2 linked regions of the Xenopus tropicalis genome follow. The protein of the gene in region 2 interacts with the protein of the main gene of each other region in a pairwise test. Links are inferred from orthologs where the notes say so. Each region holds a gene or a part of one and is shown on either strand. Other genes may lie near its edges.

Region 1 (3,822 bases), about 26 Mb from region 2:
GCATTTGACTGTGTCTCACAAGTATGAAAGGTTGGGGACCACTGCTATAGGGTATCCCATATAACTAGAAATTTTAGGAGCAATCTTGAGCTTTCTTCCCAAAAGTCATTCTGAACCAAGGGTTGCCAAAACAAGCAATTATCAGCAGCTTTCCAGAGAGACTCACCTCTTCCCAGTCATTTTTGACGAAAGAGACTCCAGAGAATTGGTGGACTACTAAGATGTAGTAGAAAAAGGCATATGTTGATAAAAGATCCAATGTCTAATTCACTAGTACAGGCTAATTGAGTACTTTGAGGATAGGCAAGGATAAAGCTTCCAGAGTAACCAATGCATTTCTCACATGAGAATATATGGACAAACAGCGATGCATTTATGATTGTGTATAGAAATGTGTGCCCATCATTTACAGGATCCATGTGGGTACCCTATAATGGTAATTAAAATGAAAATATATGTTTATGGGGGAATGTAGGAATTAGAAATAAGATTTTTTTGTAGCATTTCTATTTTTAATGCTGCTTTCTCTGAATGCTCTTTTTCATGCAGTGGGACCAGCCGGGTGCCCTGTGCTTGGTGTTTGATGTCACCAATGAGAGCTCATTCAGTAGCTGCGCAAAGTGGTTGCAGAGAGTTAGAGCGAAGACATTCAGCCCTCAGCTCCCAGGTTGGTGCCAGAGAATGGAAAGTTCCTTTTCCTTGTGTAGCATGCATTCATTTCTCTCTTATTTTGTGTGTCGCTGATTGAAAGGAGTGAAAGGGCCTCAGGTACTAAAGGCAACAAAGCAAAAAACAGTTGCTTTTTTAGCCACAATGCAGTGTTATTTTGTTCCCTAAATTTCATTGTCACTACTCATCAGAAATGTTGCACCTACTGCCAGGCACGGAATGCACAAATGTGGGCATAAAATACGTCCTTTTGTAAATGTCAGACAAATTGACATCAATGCCACAATATTACAGCTTGCTTGTTGGTTAATGCAATAGAAACCACATACAGTATGAGACCTGGGAGCAGTGCAGTGTGGAAGGTTCCCTTGCACCTGTAGCTCAGCATGCTGCACCACATTTTGCAGTTGGTCTTCATTTTTTGTTATTTGTGTTTTTTTTTTTTTTTAAATTATGTAGCTTTTTGTTTAGCAGCTGTCCAGTTTGGATTGAAGTGGCTATCTGGTTGCTAGGGTCCAATTTAACCAAGCAACTATGCAGTGATTTGAAGGAGAGACAGCAATATGAATGGAGGAGGGCATAAATAGAAAGTAAAAAAAAAAAGTAACCGTAATGAAAAAAATTGTAGCCTCCCAGAGCAATATGGCTGCTGGGGTTAGTGAGCACCATGTGAAAGCTGGAAAGTCAGAAGAGCAGGCCTGGATTTGGGGAGAGGCCACAAAGGCCCGGGCCTAGGGCGGCACAACTTGAGGGCGGCATGCAGCCCCACCACACCAAAATTTTGAAATTTTGTTCTGTTACAGAGCAATGGGGACTTCTCCCCACTGCTCCGTATGCAAGTTCGGTCTTCCGCGCATGCACACGCACCCGCTGTTCGCACATGCGCACTCCTGGGGGCTGTTGTTGGATGGGGAGATGACCAGGGAAAATCCGGCCCTGCAGAAGAGGAAGACAAATAATTCAAAAAGTTTAACCGGAAGGTAAACCATCCCTTTAATTCCTTGCTCCTATTCCATTCTTCCAGTTGGCTAATAGTGTCTACCTCTTTGCTTTTGTAAGGTGTTCTTGTTGGGAACAAGACAGACATGGCAGGCCGCAGAGCAGTGGAAAGGGGGCAGGCAGAAGAGTGGGCAGCAAGCAATGGACTGGAGTATTTTGAGACGTCTGCGGTAATAATCTTTTCTTCTTTTCTATCTTTAAAAGAATAATCACACAGTCCTTCTGTAATAGGAGCCTGTTAACCCTAATGGAGCAGCCCATTGGCACAACTTGCTGTACAGCTAGGGACAACAATACAGTCACTGACAGTGACAAGACCAGACAGACTATTGCCTGGCTCTGCTGCCAGCCCCAATCCCCAGCAGGGAACGCTCCACAACAGGGCCTGCACAACTGTGCCACACCAGGTTCTGTCATGTGTTTATAGTTTTTTGGAGATTATTCTTATGAGGCATACAATATGGCACCTCCCGTCATATTTATCAGTGCAAACAATATGCTCTCTGCTAAACAGGAAGTTGGTCCAGAGAACCTTTGATTTGCCCCATACAATTAGGCAAACTCTGAGCAAATGTTGCTATATAGATATTTTGATGCAGGTCTGAGATTCTTTATCTAATGTCTAAGGAGAGCACCATAGTGCAACCTCTTTATTTACTTCCTCTGTGGCCACATCAGCAACATTCTGTTGTAGGTTCACGTGCGGGCCACACTACATGTCCTTTTAACCAAGATTTATTATTGAGAGAGGTGAGTAGGGTTGCCACCTGTCCGGTTTTGACAGCCCAGTTTTCATAAAGGCTGTCTGGGTCAAAACTGCCTGCCAGGTTTTCCAAATAAGGGAATCTGGACAGGACTCCCCTTGGATGACACGGTGATCAACCAATCACTGATCCCTGTGTCACAGCCCTGCCCCCTGACACAATAAGCCTGGCAACAATGTGTCACCAACTTTTCTTTGATGTCACCCACATGTCTCCTGTCATCATCCATCTGCTGCCCGGACTGTGGGATCCCTAGAGATGAGGTAGAAAAAACAATGGGGGAAAAATTCATACCCAGAAAGAATGGAACAGGCGAATCAATATGGGGAGGGGGGGGCTCTTTTATAAGCAACCACAAAGCATCCCACTCATTATTTTGGTGCAGGACACTGAATATCACACACTGTGCCATTCACAGCTGGTAGTTACAGTGTTCTTGTGGGTTGTTGCCAAACTCTTTGTGCAGTATTTCACTTGCACATTTTAAAGTTGTGGCCATGCAGTTGTTTATCCCACTCTTCCCAAACCATATTATGTGCAGAGCAGTGAAAGCAGGCCCTGGAGACATACAAGTTACAGGCAGTAGTCTGTAGCTCCAGATCTTAGTTTCTTATTAATCATAATTTAAAGGGAAACTATGCCCCCAGAATGAATGTTAAACCAACTTATAGTTTATGTAGGTGGTTAATGAAAGAATCTTACCAAATTTGAATATAATATATATATATATATATATATATATATATATATATATATATATATAAACATCTTTGTATGTAATTTGTATGTTTTTAGAGACCTATAGTTTCCCTTTAAACATTTAATATTATTGATTCTGATCTTGTGGTAAATTGCTCCTTTACAGAAAGAACTGGAAAACTTTGAGCAGCCATTTCAAGCACTGGCAAAAGCTTTTCATCACCTGTACCAGGAAAGAGTGGAAAACTTCCGGAGCCTGATGTAGGGTCATTACTTTCATCTGCAGTCACTGCACCTCTGGTACATCTGATGGGACAAATCATAGCTCTTGTGTATTTGGATGTTCTGCACCTTTGAAACTTTAATGGACAGTGTCAGAACCAGAGCAGAGAGAGATGAAGTCTAGAACCTATGACTGTCTTGCTGATATTCAGCTGCAAATTCCAGCACTCAGAAGGCTGTAAGTGGGATGCTGGAGACTGTAGTCAACAACAGATGAAGGGGCCACAAGTTCTGAATATCAAACAATTCATAAAGAATGCATCATTAGTAATGATTTTTTTATCTGTCTGGCTAAGGAAGGTTCAGGGCCCAGGGAACTGCCCTCTCTCAACGTTCTTTATCTCAATCAATGCATATTGAAATGATTTCATTACTATAGGACCACAATATAGTTACATAGTTAAGCTGG
Region 2 (4,408 bases):
GGACAGGTAGGGGTAAGAAACATAGGCGCCTCCAATATAGCACCAACAAGCTCACCTCACCAATACAGCACTCCAAAACAGAACACAGTGACCTGCTGCAATTCGCAAAGACCAAAAGGCTGTGTGCAAGACACACCCATCCGGGCCTTTTTTTTTTGCACTTTGCAGATGGTTGTTTGTTATCTAAAATGATCCCTAATTCATTATCATTTTCTCCAAGAATTGTTCAGAAGAAAATATTTGACTAGAAATAGGAAACTTCTGAAACTACAGATGAAGCCAGCTGAAGATCTGTGACTGCTGGTGGGCAAAAGGCTTCTTTTGCCAGCATTACACTATGCTTAAGTACGTTTATTATCAATCATTTTCAGGAAAACACTGCATTTACAAATGTAAACATATAAAATGCCACATATCTAAAAAAGTTTGTTTTGTCAAAAAAAAGTCTTAACATGTAGTACCCCACTCTTTTAAGGGTATCATGAATCCTACTGCTTATCTTCCAAGTGTCTTCTATAGTTCATTAAAGTTGCATATGTTACACAATACAGAATGTTTATCAAATTTAAATATGGTGCATGTTTAATTGCTTACCTCTTTCTAGACGGAGCTCAAAGTTTACAGGTTCTTTGGATGTGCTTGATTCAATTCTTACAGATCGTACTGAAAACCATAAAGGCCAAAGGAATAATAAAATAAAATTATGAAATGTGAGTCATAAATGCATTTAGTTAACTGCAGAGAGCAAAAACACCAGTAAGTATAAAGATAAATGAAGAGTTCAACCATGTGGGAAAAAGAGTTACAGAGGAGGTTTACCTTTAAAACAATTTTAGTATGTTGTCGATAGACCTATTTTAAGCAACTTTTCAAACGGTCTACTTTCTTATTTATTCTGGTTTTTAATTATTCGCTATCCTACTTCTTTCTGCCCTGCAACAAAAAAAATCTCTGTGTTTTATGGGGTCACTGATCCAGCAGCCATACTTTATATTTCACCATTTTTGCATTGTTATCCCACTACTTTCATCTTCCATCCTAACATCTAAACTGATGCCTGATTTCCTAGACAGGTAAGCCTTAGCAACCAGTTAAAATTCAAAGCCTGAGAGTGGCACAATGAAAAATATAAATTTATGGGCTTCTAGGGAACAACCTATACTTTTATTGCATTATAATATTATGACATGAAGTAAAGTTGAAATACATGGTACGATCAGTTACACAATAATATTCAAAGTTAACTGCCAAAGATGAAGAAGCAAAAACTAAATTTATGATTTCTCCATTTTACCTAATGAGCTCTGGAGGATGATCTTGTTAATTTTCTGAATGCCATTCAAACTGATTATGAATTCTTGAGGATACATACCAGTCGTTGTCCAGAATGTGTCTGGGTTTCTAAACAAAACATAACATAATTATGTAACTGTATGAGAGAAAAACAAAGTCTGAACAGTATTATCTGGTTGAGCCCAACATACCAATGCAACCAGGTACATACTAGGATCTGAAGTAGGCCCTGATAGACTCCTGCGCAATTTTTGAAACCCAACCCAGACCTCTGCCCTGCATTTTTACGTGCTTTGGCCCTTTACCTGATCTGCAACTGCCTTACCCACAACCTGACCACTAATAAACAGGAAGTGACATCGTGAGAAGTAGGTGGGGAAAAAATAACACATTTATAGAAACCACTTGTGCATCAATGTTTTGAGTGACGCAAGCTCCTTCAAATATTTTACAATTACAGTGCTGACAGGGCCGGTCAAAGTAACTAATCAGTGGCTTGAGGGGGGTGGCATATGGGACATAACTGTTCAGTTTGCTACTGAATCTGACCTGCGTGCTCACAAACTAACTGAACAGTTATGTCCCATGTCCCTAGCCCCCTAGCCCCCCCCCCCCCCCCGTAAAGTCACTGACTAACTAAAGGCTGCCATACACGGGCCAATTCTAGCTGCCGATATCGGTCCTTTAAGACCAATTCGCCAGCTTATCGGCCCATGTATGGGCACTAAAGACGGGTCTGCCCGACCAACATCTGGCCTGAAATGGGGCAGATATTGATCGGGCAGGTTTAAAAATCAGTTGGATCCTGCAGATGCCTATGTTGGCCAAACGACCGAATTAGCCAGATATCGCCCACCCATAGTTGGGGATATCAAGAGAACATCCACTTGCTTGGCAACCTCGCCAAGCGAGCAGATCTTAGTGTGTATGGCCACCATAAGAGGTTAGAGAGCTGAAAGCAAAAAGTAAAGTTCTGGCTATTATGTTAGACATCTGCCCACTCCAGCCTTTATAGATTACATTTTTGCCTAATTATATTGCAAAAATTTTGTATTTTGCGCAGGCCATCCATTTTACCCAGTTTCATTTTTACACTGAACTATTTCTTTAATGTCTAGGTCCTCTATTTATTTGTATGCTATTAGTTATTTATCAGTACTTGCCCAAGCTCAAGCACTATAACACACACTACAGCTTTTAGAAAAATTGCAAACAGGAACATTTTGCCACAGGTAGCCAACAAAAACTACTGGGAACATTACATTGTGAGAATAATATCCCCGCAGCAGCCGGCATGGCTGTACTACTAATGGAGAAAGCCTGAGCACATCAATACCCACCCGTCTATAATGTTGTCTGCCGGGTGTCTGTCATCGCTGCTGGTAGCCAGTGTGACCCGGGCTCCGGCACAACTCAGGCACAAGTCCCCTGCCCGTGTCATGCTCAGGCCGTGGCTTTGGCGTGGAACTAACAAGCAGCCCCTTCACATTCGCTCCACTTACTTTCCCCCCTGTTGTTACGCCGTTGCCTAGCAATTTGGAACGTCTTCCGGTGCCAGAGCTGTGTTCCCGAGTTAGCGTATATAGTGTGCGCGGCCGGGGGGGAAGGTTCCGTAGAGCAGACGTTCCGGGTGCAGTTTACTGGTCTCTGCAGAGAGGTGAGTCTCTGGTTTTATAGTTTATGTGTAAATATTGTCCGTTATGGTGTCACCATGAGCGTGTGGTGATCAAAACTCACACTCGGAAGTTTTTTTTTTTATTCTTTATGCTTGTGGATTTGAGATGGGAAGCTCCTTCATTTCCTAGGAGAATTAGCATTTGATTTAGACTGTAAACCGATTGGAATAGGAAGTTACTGTACAGCGCTGCCTTGAATTACAGAACCATTAACATTCATTTTGAATCAAGGGTTTGTGTGCGGTCATGCACGACACCCAACTTACAGCATGTGTATTCAGTAAATATCATCTTTGATGGTAATCTTACACAAAAAAGAACTTTAATATAATGCACCGTTACCTTGTAATTATCACTGTTTTATATTGACATTCTTATGAACTAGCCTAGTTTTAGCCAGTGCAGGACTGTAGGGTCCAAAGAAGTTGTTAGAAAACAACAGTGTTAGGCTATAGCTCTGCTTTTTCCTTTTTGAATTATAATCACCTTTGCATTCTTAATTTACTTTGTTTATAAAGGCACCCATTGCTAATATGTGTTCCCTTGCTCTATCTGCACATATGGACTCTACATTTTCTTTTACATTGGCAATATATATCTTATTAAAGATGGTCATATATATTATTATATATATTGTTTTCCATAGCCCCTTTTTCATTGTGATTTATTTCATCTAGATGTATGGGGTGAGATTTACAGCTCAGTGTTTCAATTTAGTCTTATTTTTATCTTGTTTCAGGACAAGCTAGATTTTGTAAGCATATAAATATATAAAGAGTCTGCATGAGTCACAATTTTAATTGGAAATAAATAGCTTTGACCTAAATACTTTCTAGTGAAAACCTCTGTCATTCAGACAAGATGCAGTGTCCTTAATAAACAGCAGTGAAACAAAACTACTTAGTTTTTGCGGATGAAAGGTAAGGTGAGATCACTTCTAATAAACTGAAGGGGCATTACCCTATTACACCAATAAACAATTGCTAAGTTAGAATGGAATATTACATTTGCTTAAAACTTTTTTTCTTTTCCTGTAAGAAGATGTTTCAGTGCCTTGAGCCAGAGAGGAACGAGGAGACAGGACCGGTTTATGTGCGAGAGAGAGGAAAGCTGTCAGTTGTTGGGTCACATGTCTCTGAGCTCAGGACTCGCCCATGCCGCCTTTTCTCTAAAGGATTCTCAGTGGAACTATGTGGGAAGCAAGAAGATACCTCAAGACACAGGCAGAAACCTTTTATTTTTACATATACTAAGGAGGGAAGCTTACGCTACTCTGCCAAGTCACTCTTTACCCTGACACTTGATCTAATCACTGACAACATCCACTATGTAGACTCCCTGATGGGATTTCCTGACCAGATTGCAGAGAAACTCTTTACTGCTGCAGAAGCCAAGCACAAATTTTTTACCCCTTGCAATGGGGTAATGGCCCTGCGCAA

What was found.
Region 1: the proteins of hspb11 (region 2) and ift27 interact in binary tests that used the Homo sapiens proteins (3 or more experiments, as listed by UniProt). The two-hybrid records come from large-scale screens. The link is inferred for Xenopus tropicalis from reciprocal best matches to the Homo sapiens genes IFT25 and IFT27.

What each region holds. Positions count from the first base shown.
Region 1 is NC_030680.2:123,419,729-123,423,550, forward strand, and holds part of ift27 (intraflagellar transport protein 27 homolog), read left to right. Parts: intron 1-549; coding exon 550-667; intron 668-1,728; coding exon 1,729-1,838; intron 1,839-3,297; coding exon 3,298-3,396; 3' UTR 3,397-3,822. UniProt on the Homo sapiens protein: Small GTPase-like component of the intraflagellar transport (IFT) complex B that promotes the exit of the BBSome complex from cilia via its interaction with ARL6. Not involved in entry of the BBSome complex into cilium. Prevents aggregation of GTP-free ARL6.
Region 2 is NC_030680.2:97,386,790-97,391,197, forward strand, and holds the start of hspb11 (intraflagellar transport protein 25 homolog), read right to left. Parts: upstream 2,836-4,408; 5' UTR 2,735-2,835; coding exon 2,634-2,734; intron 1,402-2,633; coding exon 1,295-1,401; intron 664-1,294; coding exon 595-663; intron 1-594. Other genes in the region: lrrc42 (leucine-rich repeat-containing protein 42), read left to right, coding at 4,011-4,408. UniProt on the Homo sapiens protein: Component of the IFT complex B required for sonic hedgehog/SHH signaling.